Styela clava: one gene and its partner. The protein of the gene in region 2 purifies or fractionates together with the protein of the main gene of each other region. This does not show direct contact. Links are inferred from orthologs where the notes say so. Each region holds a gene or a part of one and is shown on either strand. Other genes may lie near its edges. The genes, in order: protein argonaute-2-like and RISC-loading complex subunit tarbp2-like.

Region 1 (7,192 bases), on a different chromosome or scaffold from region 2:
TAGAAATATCTAGATTCTAATTCTGACTCAACTATATATTATTTGACCTGATGCCCGCAGTAAATAAGTTCAAATATTTGATTTGGTGATATGCAGTTTTCCACACAGCTCAATACTTTATCGAAATTCGGACTGTGGCCATGTAACTATGAGCTAAGAATATTTGAGCACATGGGAAATGTCAGAGGACTCGCGATAAGTGAAGCATTGCGAAGGGCTGACACTATATTATTGACAATAACCATCCCTCAGAACTTCAAAACAACGTGTATCAGACCCATAACGATGGGTTCTCAATCCAGAATACCTTGAGTTATATGTTATAACCACAACAATATCTAATTTTTCACAAGTCGCAGTATACTGTTTCAATTTGCATGATATATACTTCATGAAATTAACAAGAATCCTCTGTCTAATTATTCGTGAAGTCGGCTTTTATCGTGTATGAAGAGATTTAGCTAAGGAGTTCTCATATGTCCACTTGCCACTTCAATACGCGCGTTTGTCATTGCTTTAAGTTTAAAGTATAAACCATTCAAGACTGAGACTTGCATTCGCATAGCTATTGCACAATGAAGTGGGATGTAAATGAGCTGAAAACAGTTTCATGTACTATCGGAGGGAAGACTCTATAATGATGTTTACCACACTGGCGCTGATTTATAAAACATCAGGCCTGAATCTTTTACTCTGTCGAAAATTGTAACGACTGAAACCGTAACTACTATTCATATTTGCATTTTAGATCAGCAATTCTTATATTTCATGAATTTGACATAAGCTCTAAGATACTTGTCAGTCCGAATATTTTAAATAAATCTTTCGTATATTTCAATTGAAATAAACTCAATTTTTATGCTCACTTCATCAATTCTAAATCCTAAATAGTGTTGTATAAATATGAAAAGGCCTGACGATGTCAATATTGCTGAACGTAATCAATGGACGAATAACGATTGCTTATCTTAGCGCTGTAAGTTTTATTTTCCTGATGCGGTTCGCACTTTTCATCTTTCGATATTGCATTCGTAGAATTGTCTTGTTTTCTTTTCTCAAGTTTTGTTTGGGACCTAAAAATGTCAAAAAATACAAAATTAAAGGCCCTGGTAGCGATTTCATGATTACCCGCTGACCGATATCGATAAAAATTTTCATGTTTTAATAGATTGCCCATTTCCAGTCAGCACGTTATTTTGGATAAAACCCCGACAAACAACATCATAAATGCAAGATCGGTTGTACTAAATTTATTTTAACTTTTCACCTTCTGGCGATAAACGCCAGAAGGTTTTTGTTTACAAAATAGATGACATCTACTTGAGTTCACAGCAGTATATTCTGCTTCACAAACAAGTTCTGTGCTTCAAAAGTGGAGGGTTAATTTTACCTATTGAAAAGAGTGGTAGTTGGTGTGGCAGTATCCCATCGTAAATCTTCAGCAACGCTTGCTTTTTTTAGCTTTTCGTATGGATCTGTAATAGAAAAGTAACTAAAACAACAATTATCCATGTTTTAAATGATCTGTAGCGCTTATTGCGGTTTGAATAACATTTATGCGGTTAAATATTAGTTAGATGTCGCATTATTGAGCTTAAGTATGAGGTTTAATTATAGGTATTGATAAAAACCTGGTGCTTCATCGGGGATCGGGTCACTTTTGTTGCGCTGTTCCGCTTTCCTATCGATCACCGCTTGCTTTCGGCGAGCCTCCCAATGAAGGGCAGACATTTTCTAATTCTAGTTTTATGACAATTAATAACAAAAAAAGTTTGTAATAGTTTTGCATTGAAATAATACGTTATTCTTACGTCATAATGATAATATCAAGTGAACAAGATTGAAGAATGAATCAACAACCTGGCGTTTACTTACAGTTAGTTTGCGGTATTGCTTCATTTTTTCCTTACCATCGGCATTTGATTGAATTACTTCAGAAACACAATTATCAGAAGTTAATGTAAATTATATGAATAAAACTAGGCAAATGAAACGCAGGGTGGCTCCGGAAATGAAAAGGTTAACCAGCAAGAAGAACAACAACATTTTAACAAAACGATACACAGTTACACCTTTTTTCAAAATAAAATTAGGTAACGCAATGGTGAGGTGTATTTTTCTTTGGATAAAAATTCGCGGAAATTTACCAGGTTTGGAATATTTGGTGGCGAGCACGAACCGCATCCGCGACGCACGCGCGTCTTGTGGTGTTTCTTTTTTCCTCGCACGGTTCATAGATAATAAAGAAACAAAGAAATTCATCCTTTGTGTTCGGACGCTTTGTCAGCTATCATTCGTTTCAATCGACGTCACCAACGGTCGAGCCAACCCTCAGGGCTGGGCTTCCCGATTTCGATTTTCTTGTTGTAGCGACCGTGCGTTGTCTTACGTATCTTGAGGATTCATAGTTTCGATTTTGTGCGTGCTGTAAATAACATTGTATATAACAGTAATCAAGTATATATTTCGAACAGCTTCCGTTAAACTGTAACAGTAAGGTACCGGTACCGGTACTGTCTGAGTGTACCGCACGGTGTTACTTTGACAGGTTGTCTAGTTGTTGTAAATCTAAAATGGTAAAACGAAACTCTAAAACTGGAGAAACAAGATATATCGCCCAGTAAAAAGAAAAATATATAAACAAAATAAAAAACAAAATAAAATTTCGCCACGCCATATTACAGTATTAATAATTTTGTAAGGATCGCCAAATTCTGAAATTGGATATAACAATTTTCTGGCAGTCTAGATTTTAGTTCAGAAGTTGAAAGTGATAATAACCTGACATTATCTACGGAGTTATCTTTTGCTGACTAATTATTATTTCAGTCAGTTTTTATGTACCATATTATTGTAACTGTATTCTGGTATTAGACCAGTTACTGAGTTACCAATATGAAGCTGTAAATAGTTTTGAGAAAATGTAGGCTAGTATGAAATAGATTGATGAATGTCTGAATGTGGTTTTGGTAATTAGGATAAATACAATTGCCCGAAAATGCAACTTCTGAACTTTAAAATTTTTCTTTTAAATCAGGCCTCAGTCTAGTCCCACATGTCTGGCTGGCTTACTAATTCAGTACGGCACAGCTCTCCGATACCAAGGATAACTTCCACATTAAAAGACGTCAATTATAACTGCGATTGCAAACCTCTTCTCTACCAGACAGTCTCGGCCTCCATACCGACAACAAACGGAAAAGAAGCTCAATCAAAAAATGTCACTATTGGATTTTTTGGAAAAAAGAATCTGATTTACCATAGGTTAAAAAATAATTTTACAGTAGCATTCAACAGTTTTTAGCAAAAAAGCAATTTCGGTCATGTGACAGCCACGTCGTGATTAATTTAGATTATCATTGAGACAAGCACGGTGTGATCTGCCGTCGTGCCATACGCCCTCATTTCAGAGACAAATTGAGCGTTTGTTTTATTGAATGTTGGGACATCTTGGAATTGGAGAACTGTGACCTACTGTAATTCTATAATTAAAATTTGCTATAAACTGATATCTGGATATATTCAATTCAAACAGGCAATCTGATTCTGTAATTCAAATGAAGTCAAAAAGCAGAGATGTGGTATAATTCGTTATTTGGTTTCAGAATTATTCAATGGCCATGGCTTCATCGTAAATGTCTCAGGCTGCTCTTATCATCATCTCATATTTGCATATTATGTCATTCCAAATCTTCATCTGATCTGACTTCGTCATCCAAAAATAACGTTACTATACAGACAGTCGTCCAATACACGCAGACGATCACCCGGAATCGAGCAAGCTATGTCGTATACACAGCCAAATTCTCTTTCTTTTTCTCATTGTAACTATCCCGATATGCGACAGGCCGCTGGGCGGCTGGCGTTAGTGAGATCATTATCATAGACGCAGACCATTTGAGCGATCTTTGGCAAGCTCTGACTTGATCATGACATAGTGATGTATTTCTTGGTTGGCGTAATCAGATGAGCGTTAGGAATAACATATGCAAAAATGGTTATGCCACTAAACTAAATTAGACCTATCATAGTTCTTAGTCCGATATAACGTTGATAAGAGAATGCATTAATATAATTTACTTATACTAACTTTGGTACAGTAATTGTATCTGATTATACTTCTGGTACAAATACAGAACTGAATTGTGTTTTACAGCAAATTTTATATTATTGGAATATTTTAAATTTTACCTCAAAAAAGCAACTGCTCAAGCAGTAAAAGACTGCAAAATGTTCACTCCTCAGCAGTCATTTAACCCACAATACCAACCCACGACAGCAGGAACACAGCAACAGCCCCCTACACCAGTTGCTGCTGCTCCAACTGCAGTTACCCCTCCAGTCAGACCTGCAGGTAAACAGTTTCATTTCAAATATTATTCAATACCTTATGCTTACATTTTTCAGATTTGTCTTATCTGATGTGTCCTAATTTAGGTTATGTTTGACTGAAATATTATAGCAGTTTAATGTACATTTATAAAATTAACTGGATACTTAATTTTATTTATTCTCGCAGTTATAAGAAGTCGAATATGGTTTATTTATTTTGTCTGAATTAAAATGTTTTTGGTGTCCCATGTGATCATATTTTCTAATAAAATTGTTTTCAATTTACTCCTAAAAATAAAAAAAATTGGAAATATATACAAACGTTCAGATTGTGTTTCGTCTTTCTTTTTTCTAGTTATGTCTTTATTTTATATTCAAAATAACGCTTATTTTTGTAGTTGGGGATCCAAGGTTTCCGATTGTTGGTACGTCAAAAGCCATAGACTTCCAAGCACCAGCCCGTCCAAATGTGGGTCAGATTGGAAAACCAATCTGGCTGAAAGCAAATTATTTTAAAGTATCCATTCCTAATGGAGATATTCATCATTATGACATTGATATCCATCCAGACAAATGCCCAAGGAGAGTAAACAGGTAGTTAATTGAGCGTATATTTTTTGATTTTCTTATTTTAGTGAAGATAGAAGAGTGCCAATTCTAGCATTAAATTTTGGTATTTAAACTTCTGTTGTTGTTGTTTTTTAATTAAAACAATTTTTCAACTCAACCTTACTCAGTTTTACATGTTTTTTTTTTTAATCATAATTGAAGCTATAAGAAATTTCGAATATTTGCTTTATTCTTCTGTTATACTGATCAGTATTCAGAATTCCTCTTAACGATTTGCTTGTTACGGTAATTTTTCTTTGTTATAGATTTGAGGTTTTACAGAAACTCAATATTAGATGAAAATATAAGTATTTTATATAAGTCCATAGTATTGATAGTTGATATTATATTATCGAGTTTCCGTAAAACCTCAAATGTTTTATTGAGTATTCTTCATTATGCATTTTCAACTTTCAGAGAAATTATTGAAACAATGGTGGGAAATTATCGTACTGCAATCTTCCAAGACAGAAATCCAGTGTTTGATGGCCGTAAAAACCTCTACACAGCACAGCCACTGCCTATTGATAATCAGAAGGTTCATACATTTTTTTTTTCATTCAAAATATATGTATAGAGTGAATATGAAACCACTTTCATAAGTTCGAAATTCTTTGAATATTTAAATTATTTATTTGTTGGGACATTGAAATTTCAACAATATGTGTTGGGTTTCTGGGTTCTAGTTAGTATTATGATGTTTTCAAAGATTATGGACAATGGAGAGTTGTATTTAAATACCCATTTTATCGTATAATATTATAAAATTACTATGTTTTTGAATCTGAAGTATTTACACGATGGTAAACAATTGAAACATTGCCCTTTTTCACGAGCATTGCGTCAGAATTCGAATGAGGAAGTGTCTGCTTTTGTGTTTATAGCATATGCTGAATGTGAATGTTTACTCCAGTATCGGTTCTCTAACATTTTTTTAGAAAAGCCCCTTGTATTTATCAATGGTGAAAATGCCAGCACATAAGCTTGTCTTTTATATATTGTTTTTTCAAGAATTTTCGTATTCTATGATATCATCAACTAAAATATCTTGGGAATCGGGTCAAAATAAACCTAAAACATTGTCTGATTTTGTTTTCTCTTATTTGGTTGTGTGTCTATGACTAAGTAGTCATAGCGCATGGGGTGTGATTTTATTGACATTTTAGAAATTAAAATACAGACCGAATATTAATAATTACTTGTGTGCTAGTCGGTAATGGTTTGGGCCCTGATATTTAGGGTGTTGTTGCTGTTGTTACCACCATATTTATAATTATTATATTTGTTGGGAAACTTGCAATATCAAACAATCTATCGTAATTTAATTCAGTCAAAATATTTCGTCATGTGTCTTAAATCTGAATAGATTATTATCTATTCTATATTACTAGTTACATAACTGCTCAAAAAATGATTTTATCTTTACCGAAAATCAAACGAATAAAATATGACTTAATAATTTTTAAGATTAGTTAGATTACCTGAAAATTTTTAGCATTGGCACATAACTGTATTGTAATTTTTACTCTAAAGTACTTGACCACACCAATTCTACATGACTTCTGCTGATCAATATTATCATTATCAATCATATTCATGGGATTAAAAGTGCTGATGTGATCATGTGACTGACAGTGCATAGATCTTCATTGTTAGATCCTATATAAATGAATATTGTCAATGAATCTTTATTGATCATCAAGTTTGAACTATTATTACCTATTGTAATATACAAGGGTGACTTTGAAAGCATCTAATATTTCTTTTACTTTTTGTTTATAGCTTGAAGTGGAGGTGACATTACCTGGGGAAGGCAAAGATCGTACTTTTCGGGTTGCAATAAAATGGTGCGCTCGTGTATCTCTCTATTCATTGAAATTGGCATTGGATGGAAAAATGCATGGGATTCCATTTGAAACTGTGCAGGCGTTAGACGTTGTCATGCGTCATTTACCTTCCATGAAGTGAGTGTACTTGTTCTTTTATTTGTGCGCATACATCCATAGCAACATGAAATTGTCTATGGTTGTTTGGGATGGATATTATTAAAACTTGAGGTTTTCATTTTATTTGTCTACTCTGTCTAACTAAATGTTTTATTATGTTCCAATTTGTTAATATTTAACAATTGTGCATACCAACTGTCTGCCTGCTTTTAAAGTAGTTTTGACAGATTTTCAAAAATTAGTCATGTAAATCATGTTTTTGAACGTTTCAGTTTTTAGCCATTTCTCATGACAATTCATTATTC
Region 2 (8,213 bases):
GAAATTAGCCTTGTATTTGTTTCCGGAACTCATTTACAATAAAATGGATGCATTGAGAGTGAATAATATATCTTGTATTATTTGTGCTAAATCTTAATGTTATTTTTATGGTTTCAAAACCAAAAATCCATAAATATTTATTGTTAAACCATAAAGAACCCAAATTTCAATAAGCAAATTTTGCACTATATATATTATGAGAAAAGTGCAGTTCATTCAACTACCACTTTCTATGAAGCAAACAAGTAGTTTTTGTGATTTATAGGACCACTTACTTGGAGATCACTGATTCAAAAAGGAGTTACGGCAAAGTATGTGCAAACAGTCTTCCAGAAGAATTCATTAGCTATTCAAACGAGTTGAATGTTCATTTAGTGAGTGAAAAGGGCAAAGGACGCTTCATTTTTAATTACACAGAAGTATCTTCCCAAAAATCAGAACCTTTGAGATTGGAGCTTCCAAGCAATGAAGCAACTTGGTCAGCAGCAAAAATTTTGTGTGAATCAAATAAAAAGTCGTTATGCAGGTAAGATTGGATGTATCTACAATATAACTTCAAATCAAATTAAAAAAGTTTCATAGGTATAGATTATGAAACACAAGCTATTTTTTAAAGGTCCAAACGGCTTTCTGGAATGATGACAAACATTTGAAGTTTTCTGCATCGCATGCAAAAAAACATGCCCGTTTGTTATGTATTGCCATTAAATTAAAGTGAACTTATATACATAGAGGCGATACGCTTGCATTAGGCACGTATCATCTGTTACTTACACTTTTAAGGGAGTTTTGTATTGACTATTTACTTTTAAGAGCTCATATTTTTAGTCTTTCCGTTCAAAAATCGTAGCTCAGGTATTTAGGCCTATTTTTTTTTCGCGTCTCCCTTCTGAAAAGCTATTTTTTATTCTACTCGGCACTGCATATGTAGACTACATTGCATATACTTTCAGTATTCGTGAAAAAATAAACTACTGACTGATTTATTTTCAGGAAAAGGGATCTGTGTCCTTATGGCATGCCATTCGGAGGAGAAGCCTCGAATACGACTTGGGTGGCTGTTTCTGATGAATACAACGATTGGATGAAACTGGGCCCTTATGACGTTTGTAAATCATACGTGAAAACCTACGGTCCGCCAGAATGGGGTGAAAAAGTCATAGAGGACTGTGAACCGTTGTATTATGATGGCGAAACGGACGAATGTCTCCTTAGTCGCAAAGTTGTATTTTGTTGCGATCGACCAGAGGGTGAATCAGAGAAAGATTTGCTCGAATCGGTTCGTGTGAATGTCGGGTATGCAAAATGGCAGGATAATCTTGTTTACTTTTTTCAAAGAGGCAACGTTTGGGAATCTCCAGAATACCTGGCTAGAGTGGGTGATGGATATGATTACTATCACGACTGGGATTACTATGGTGAAAGAGAAAAGGTGTACCCTTATAAGCTTATCAGTGAAAATACAAACGCAAGACCAGGCACAGTCGATTACTTCATTATGTCAGCCAAATACGAAGAAACCTATTTTAACCAGGTTGGTATTTTTATCAATTACGTAGTTGGTGCAAAATTGGTAGTCGCATATGAAATGAATAGTAATTAGGCGCCATCCACTGCAGGAGAATATTGCAGCTAGGCCCAGGTCTTGTTTCGCTCGTACAATAGGCGCTAAATCCGCGTTTCAGACAAGCTTCGAGGCTTGGAACAATATTGTATTAACAAGCATCATCATACAAAAACCTTTCCTGATAATATATATATATATATATATATATATATATATATATATATTATCATTTTTTTACTTAGACAATAGTATATAACCGTATTAAATGGCATCTATTTAGGAATTTATTTTTATTTTTTATATGAATTTATTTATTCACGTCTTTGTTACTACAAAAATAGGTTATTTATTTCTGCTGGAAAGAGGGATCAATACACAGCGAAATAAGAAGGATTTACAAAATGAGTATGAATAGTTGTGAAGCAGAAGACGACTGGAAATTCGACTTCTTTTTGTACGCAGGCCGCAATAAATCAGAGAAGACACCGACTGCTTTACACATAGGCCTAACAAACTCAACGACTGGCTCCTTTTGCTGTGAAAATAATGCACACAATTTTACCATTTTTGTTATTTCTTCCTCAAATGCTTAAAACTGGAATATTTTTGATATTATTTACTTTACGATTGAAAAAACGTTTTAGGCCATACTTCTGCAGAATGATTATACAAATAATTAATTATTCGATTATCATATCAATTCTGAAGTGTAATAAAAATTACATTATACCTCTGTTGGAGTTTTGTTTTCAAATACTCGGGTATGATCATTGACGCAATATAGGCTACATGAATTTAGAACTATTGTGTAGCCGTCATCATCGCCTATTAGTATGTCAAAACCATGTATATCATATGCATGGTCAAAACAGGCTTGATTTATTTATCTTGTCCACAGACCGTGGATGATTGTCATGTCGACAATAGGATTTGCGTTCCGACGGAAAGTGGAATGATTTTTTAGGAGGCGCGTTCACTACAAACAAGGTTCTGTAAGTACCAAATTAAGTCAAAGATTAAGAAAAATGAGGTAGTCAAATGAGCATGTTTGTAATTTATATAGGATCCGGGAACTATCATCTAATTTTTACCACTTTTGTAGAGTCTAAACTAGGGCAAAATTCATTAACCGTACTGGGTTCAGACGTGCAAACCCATGTAGGGTAAGCAGAGGTGCGATACGATAGCATGTGTCTATTCCTCAATCCTCAGCAAAAGAGGGTAGCATCACGTTCAACTCACAGCGTTTCTGGTAAAAATTCAAGTGCGAAAATACGATTGAGAATTTCTATAGGTACCGTACCGTATTATATATACCGGTATATATTTGTCTGCACTTAGCTGAAATACAAATCATGCAATCGTATTCTATTATAAATTATTTTAACCAAAATCGGAATTCAAATTTTATGTGAATACGCTCGCCACCGCACCTCTAATTACTCTGCGTGGGTTTGCAGGTTCGAATCCCATGCAGGGATGGTTATGTGCGAGAGGATCGCTGGACTCCTCGCGTCGTTGGGTGGTTCACGTAACCGCTGTTCGGTTACGGCTTCCTCCACCACCAAGTCCATGCTTCCGAAAACAAACAGTATAACTATTCCCATACCCGACTTGGAATGGTAACCGGACGAGAGGCCGTGTTTCGCCATATGAATAAGCCGTCTTATCGGCTTTCCTCTCCCCGGGATAAATATGTAAATCCTATCCTAATTATATAAAACTAATAAATTCCTCAAACCTTTCTCTCAAGCAGTCTGGTCCTAAAGAGTGCCAGGGAACGACCATCGATAGTACGACCACAGAGAATGATAGAATAGGATTTACATATTTATCCCGGGGAAGAGAAAAGCCGATAAGACGGCTTAACCATATGGCGAACCACGGCCTCTCGTCCGGTTACCATTTCATGTCGGGTATTGGATTAGTTAGTTATTTGTTTTTGGAAGCATGGACTTGATGGTGGAGGAAGCCGTAACCGACCAGCGGTTACGTGAACCACCCTACGGCGGCGAGAAGTCCAGCAATCCTCTCGCACATGACCATCCCATGGGATTCGAACCTGCGAACCCACGCAGACATAACTCATAATGTTGACTCTCCGTGGTACCACGGGCGTTAAGCACACAGAGAGAGAGAGAGAGAGAGAGAGTTTATTTCATTTTGTCAAACCAAGTAAACAATTTATGCACACATGAGCAAATATTTAAAAAAATAGTTTTCGGTATATGACTGGGGGGCAACGATACGACCTTTGGGGGTCATCAGAGTCAGTTGCCACCCAATTATATTAAATAAGCATAAAAATAACAGATTCGTGTCAATATATCAATGTCTCTCACGATTTATAGTATATATGTACAATATTTACATGAATTTACTATTTTCAATTATGGAAGCATTCTTTTAAATAGTGGGATTTTGCACAAATTGAAATTATATTGCAAAAAATAAAATGATCGAAACGAAAAAAAGTGGGAAAGCAGTTCAGACAAGCTACCCCTTATTTGGGTAACTTGTTTTATTGAATGAATTTAAGTTAAACATATCAAGTGGGATTTTGAACAAGCAAATAGGGGTAGAGTTCTATTCTACATACACTAGTGCAATGTAATCAGAAGCATGGGTTGAGTCATCAAAACAAATTAGAATTTGGTTTAAATAACAAAAAAATGCATTTCAAAAATGCAATACATTGTAAAGTTTGTATAAACAAACAATCGATACTAAAATATCAAGAAAGTTAATGCAAAAACAAAACAGTTGACTTAATGTAGGAATAAATAAGCGTATAGAATAAAAAACAGCTGAAAGAAAAAACCCGTTACAAATGAAATAGATATTATTACTTTATTATTACGATGACTGCTATTTTATTTTGGTTGACGAAATAATAAATCTCTCTCTCTGTATATATATATTATAGAACAGTGGGGGACACAAGTGTGGGGTCTTATGTAGTTTCGTACCTATCATACTTCTGGTGGGCGTATAGTGACAATATTTGCACGTGTCAATCCTAACCCCCACATGCCCATGCCATCCAAAAATTACGTCTCTACGACGTCACAGTGACGTGAAAGAGCCCTTCAAACTATACGAACTGTCAGCCAAGACGCGCTCGTCTGCACATCTGAAATCGAAGGGCTACTTCTCTCGTTTTTTCGTCTCGACGATCCCAATATGAGAGAGATCGCTGACTTTAGTAAGTTCTTTATCGTCGAAGCCGATGCCATTTCGGGCGATCGTACGTTTATTTGACAAGCTCTATGACAGTATGACGTGTTGTGATGTTGCAGGGACGTGATTTTTGGATGGTATAGTCAGGTGGGGTTTAGGATTGATATGTCAAAAAAATGTGATGCTACGCCCACTAGAAGTACTGAAGTATGTTAGGTATGAAACTACACGAGACCTCAAGTGTGGAGACTTGAGAGTCTTGGCCGCCGATCCATGGAAGTTTGATAACTAGACTATTGGTGAAGATTGGATTTGTTTGTTAGTTTTCGAATAACAGATTTGACATGGGTTACATACGGTAATCGTGCTTGAGCCACTGTCTGACTGTGGTTGTTGTTTTGCTGAAGCCCCTACGTTTCCCCAATTGCATATAGGTTAATTTTGCGATTCTGGATGAAATAATAATAGTATACAGATATAGTGACGCATTTATAATTAATTCTGCAGATAAAAAGTTAGGTATTTGACTCAGGCGAGTTGACAGTAAATTGGATATTTTCTAGTATAAGTACTCTCGGAGTTTTTGCTTTAAGTTCAAGAGTATTTATAAAAGAAAATGAGGTAAGTTAACTAAATTTCTGAATTTTGTAGTTTGCCAAGTAATTTTGCTAGTTCTTGCCAACTTGAGCAATGCAATAATAATACATTGTTGTTGTTTTTTCTTTAAGTAAAATTGCAGCGTGGAGATATTCAATGCAAAAAATTAGGCTTCGGTTTAAGGTAAGGATTTATGTGCATAAAAATCCGGCATTGTTCAGTTATCGGCAAAAAATATTAAAACATGATTATCGATTTAGTTGTCCACCGATTTGAAGTTTCCCAAATTTAACTTTATTGTATTCTATCTGTAACAAACTTATCATTTGTGTTATATAGACTACTGATTAAAATTTTTTACATTCTGTTTTCTGAATCATAGCCTTCACTCGCCAACTATTGTGCCGCAGAACAACATCACTGCAACTACGAGATCACCTACCAGTCCGACATCAGCAACAGGTTCTGCAGCATCACCTTCCAAGACTCCGATTTCATCTCTTCAGGTTTATTTGTTACTTCCATGATTGGATGGATTCTGTTACTGTTTAATATGAATTTAATCATATATGACTACCACTTTTTGAAATGTTTTGAACTATGTTATTTACAAACTGAAACAAATGTTTTCTATCTATTGGATATGCAATCTCAAGATAATAACATGTGAACTGACAAATTTGGAACTTTTTTCCTAAAATTCTCCTCTGTTAGAAATATCACATCTTCCTCATACTGCCATAGCAGGCTTATTTAAATGGAGAACAACTGTCTATGTTACCATTTCATGTTGAGTTTATTTGTTTTAGACCCAGTATATTGTTTGAAGCCAATTATGGTTGATGACTTTTAATATGCGTAATTTTTTGTTGGCACCTTTTTCCTCATTTTTAGTTATTGTCATTAAGTGCTAATGAATTTTATTTAGCTTATAAATCTGTACCAAAAGTCTCAGCCTGTATTTCATGAAGATTCTAACTATTGCCATTCATATAACAGGAAATATGTCAGAGAATGGGGAAGACACCTCAATACGATCTGACAGCCATGGAGGGACGGGCTCACCAACCCCAATTTGTGTATCGATGCACAGTTGGTGATATCATGAAGACTGGACAGGGTGGTAGTAAGAAAGCAGCTAAACATGCAGCTGCGGAAGCTGTACTTAATTCACTGAAAAATGGTGGGGATGCTGATGAAGGTAAAGTTTCGTTTATGAATCATCCGTTATGAGTTATTATTTCATGAATGTAGAAATTAAGAAATATTAAAAAGACAGCCGATTTATAGTTCAAATTCAAGATTATATAAGCCTAGCTGTTGACGCATCGGACTAAGCGATAATAACATGCCATTTCTGATTACCCTGTATGGGCTTGAATCCTGTGGAAGACAATTATGTGTGAGAGGATTGTTGGATTCTTCTCTTGCATAGGATGGTTGTTAAGGGCTTTCCACCACCATCAAATCCATGTATCCGAAACAATTATCAAATTAATTATGTACATACCAGACATGGGCTGGTAACCAGACTAGAAGCCATGGTTCCATGTGATTGAGTTGTTTTAATGGCTCTTCCACAGCACAGATATGAAAATCTTATAAAATAACTGAGGCTTGTATATGTCATGTAACATAATCAAGGTACCTCGAATGATTGAAGAATTTTGGTTTGTTTTATTTTTACAGCAGAAGATGAATCGCAGAATCAACAAGAAGTTCCTGAACAGAAGATTGAAGAACTATCTTCACAGGAGAGTACTAACCCTGTGGGAACATTACAAGTAAGAGAGTAAATTTCACAGAAAGGGTCTTAAGATTATGGGTCTCGACCCAAGTCTTTGCAAATCTTAAAGTTCGAGTTTCAAGCTGGGCCGAGTCACAAGAGTAGGTTTTATAGCAACATGGATAACTCAATTTTTTGTTTCTATTTTCGCAAATTATTCTTGAGTCTCAAGTCAAGTCTCTCGGGTGGTTTGTTGAGTTTTGGGGAAGTGACTCTAGTCTTCGAAAGGGGTGACTTGGAGAATCTCTAACCCTGGTATATGATAATTCTAACATCATTTTGTTCCTTTCTCCCGCCCACAAAGCTCTAAGCATACAATCAATTATTGCCCTTACTTGGTATCTCACTCTGCTCTTTGCATCTTTTTTTCTATTCTGTTCTGTTTTTGAAGGCACCTGTGACTTCACCTTTGGTACAACTGTATAAAAGTAACTCTGAAATTGTTTACGAAATACTGGTAAATAATATTTGTGTAATAAATAGTTAGTATTTGTTGTTTTTTAACGTAAACAAAATAGCATCATAATATGAATAATATTTCAGGAATTGGTTGTGGCTAGAGGGTGGAGGCTTCCAGTATACTCAATGTACGCAGAGTCTGGTCCTGCTCACAAAAAAGAATTCATCATGTGTTGTACAGTGGAATCATTCAAAGAATATGGTGGGTATAACATGTGCATGCTAGATAACACATTAATAGTTACTGAATACTAGGAAATAAAAATGGGAAATTGAATTTATAAATTGGGTCGAAATTGATTTGCATATTGCTGGACTGCACAAGTAGGCTTGTACAAAGAGTATTCATAGTGATCAACCATGTTTGTCCAGACTATGTGTTTTTCGAAAAAAATGATCATTTTAAAAAGAAGACCCGACCATGGATAGTTTCAAACGTAGTAGTATGTTTTGGGTTCATGATGTTGAACGAGATAAATGTAAAAGCATATCAAGTGTTGTATGATTTTCACTGTCTTCCGTATTTTAGGCAGTGGAACAGCGAAGAAGCATGCAAAAAGGGCAGCAGCGACAAAAATGTATGACAAGATAATGGCATTACCCGCTGATGCTAAACCCCCTCCA

The links.
Region 1: the proteins of RISC-loading complex subunit tarbp2-like (region 2) and protein argonaute-2-like purify together in Drosophila melanogaster (affinity purification with western blotting; 4 studies listed by BioGRID, with this or other methods). This does not show direct contact. The link is inferred for Styela clava from reciprocal best matches to the Drosophila melanogaster genes loqs and AGO1.

Annotation. Positions count from the first base shown.
Region 1 is NC_135255.1:14,041,243-14,048,434, forward strand, and holds the start of protein argonaute-2-like, read left to right. Parts: upstream 1-4,142; 5' UTR 4,143-4,230; coding exon 4,231-4,354; intron 4,355-4,730; coding exon 4,731-4,926; intron 4,927-5,358; coding exon 5,359-5,479; intron 5,480-6,723; coding exon 6,724-6,905; intron 6,906-7,192. Other genes in the region: uncharacterized protein LOC120331088, read right to left, coding at 923-1,073, 1,391-1,475, 1,632-1,731.
Region 2 is NC_135259.1:11,926,248-11,934,460, reverse strand, and holds the start of RISC-loading complex subunit tarbp2-like, read left to right. Parts: upstream 1-5,077; 5' UTR 5,078-5,363; coding exon 5,364-5,368; intron 5,369-5,726; coding exon 5,727-5,850; intron 5,851-6,343; coding exon 6,344-6,545; intron 6,546-7,033; coding exon 7,034-7,128; intron 7,129-7,673; coding exon 7,674-7,791; intron 7,792-8,118; coding exon 8,119-8,213. Other genes in the region: uncharacterized protein LOC120338264, read left to right, coding at 266-526, 994-1,534, 1,909-2,160.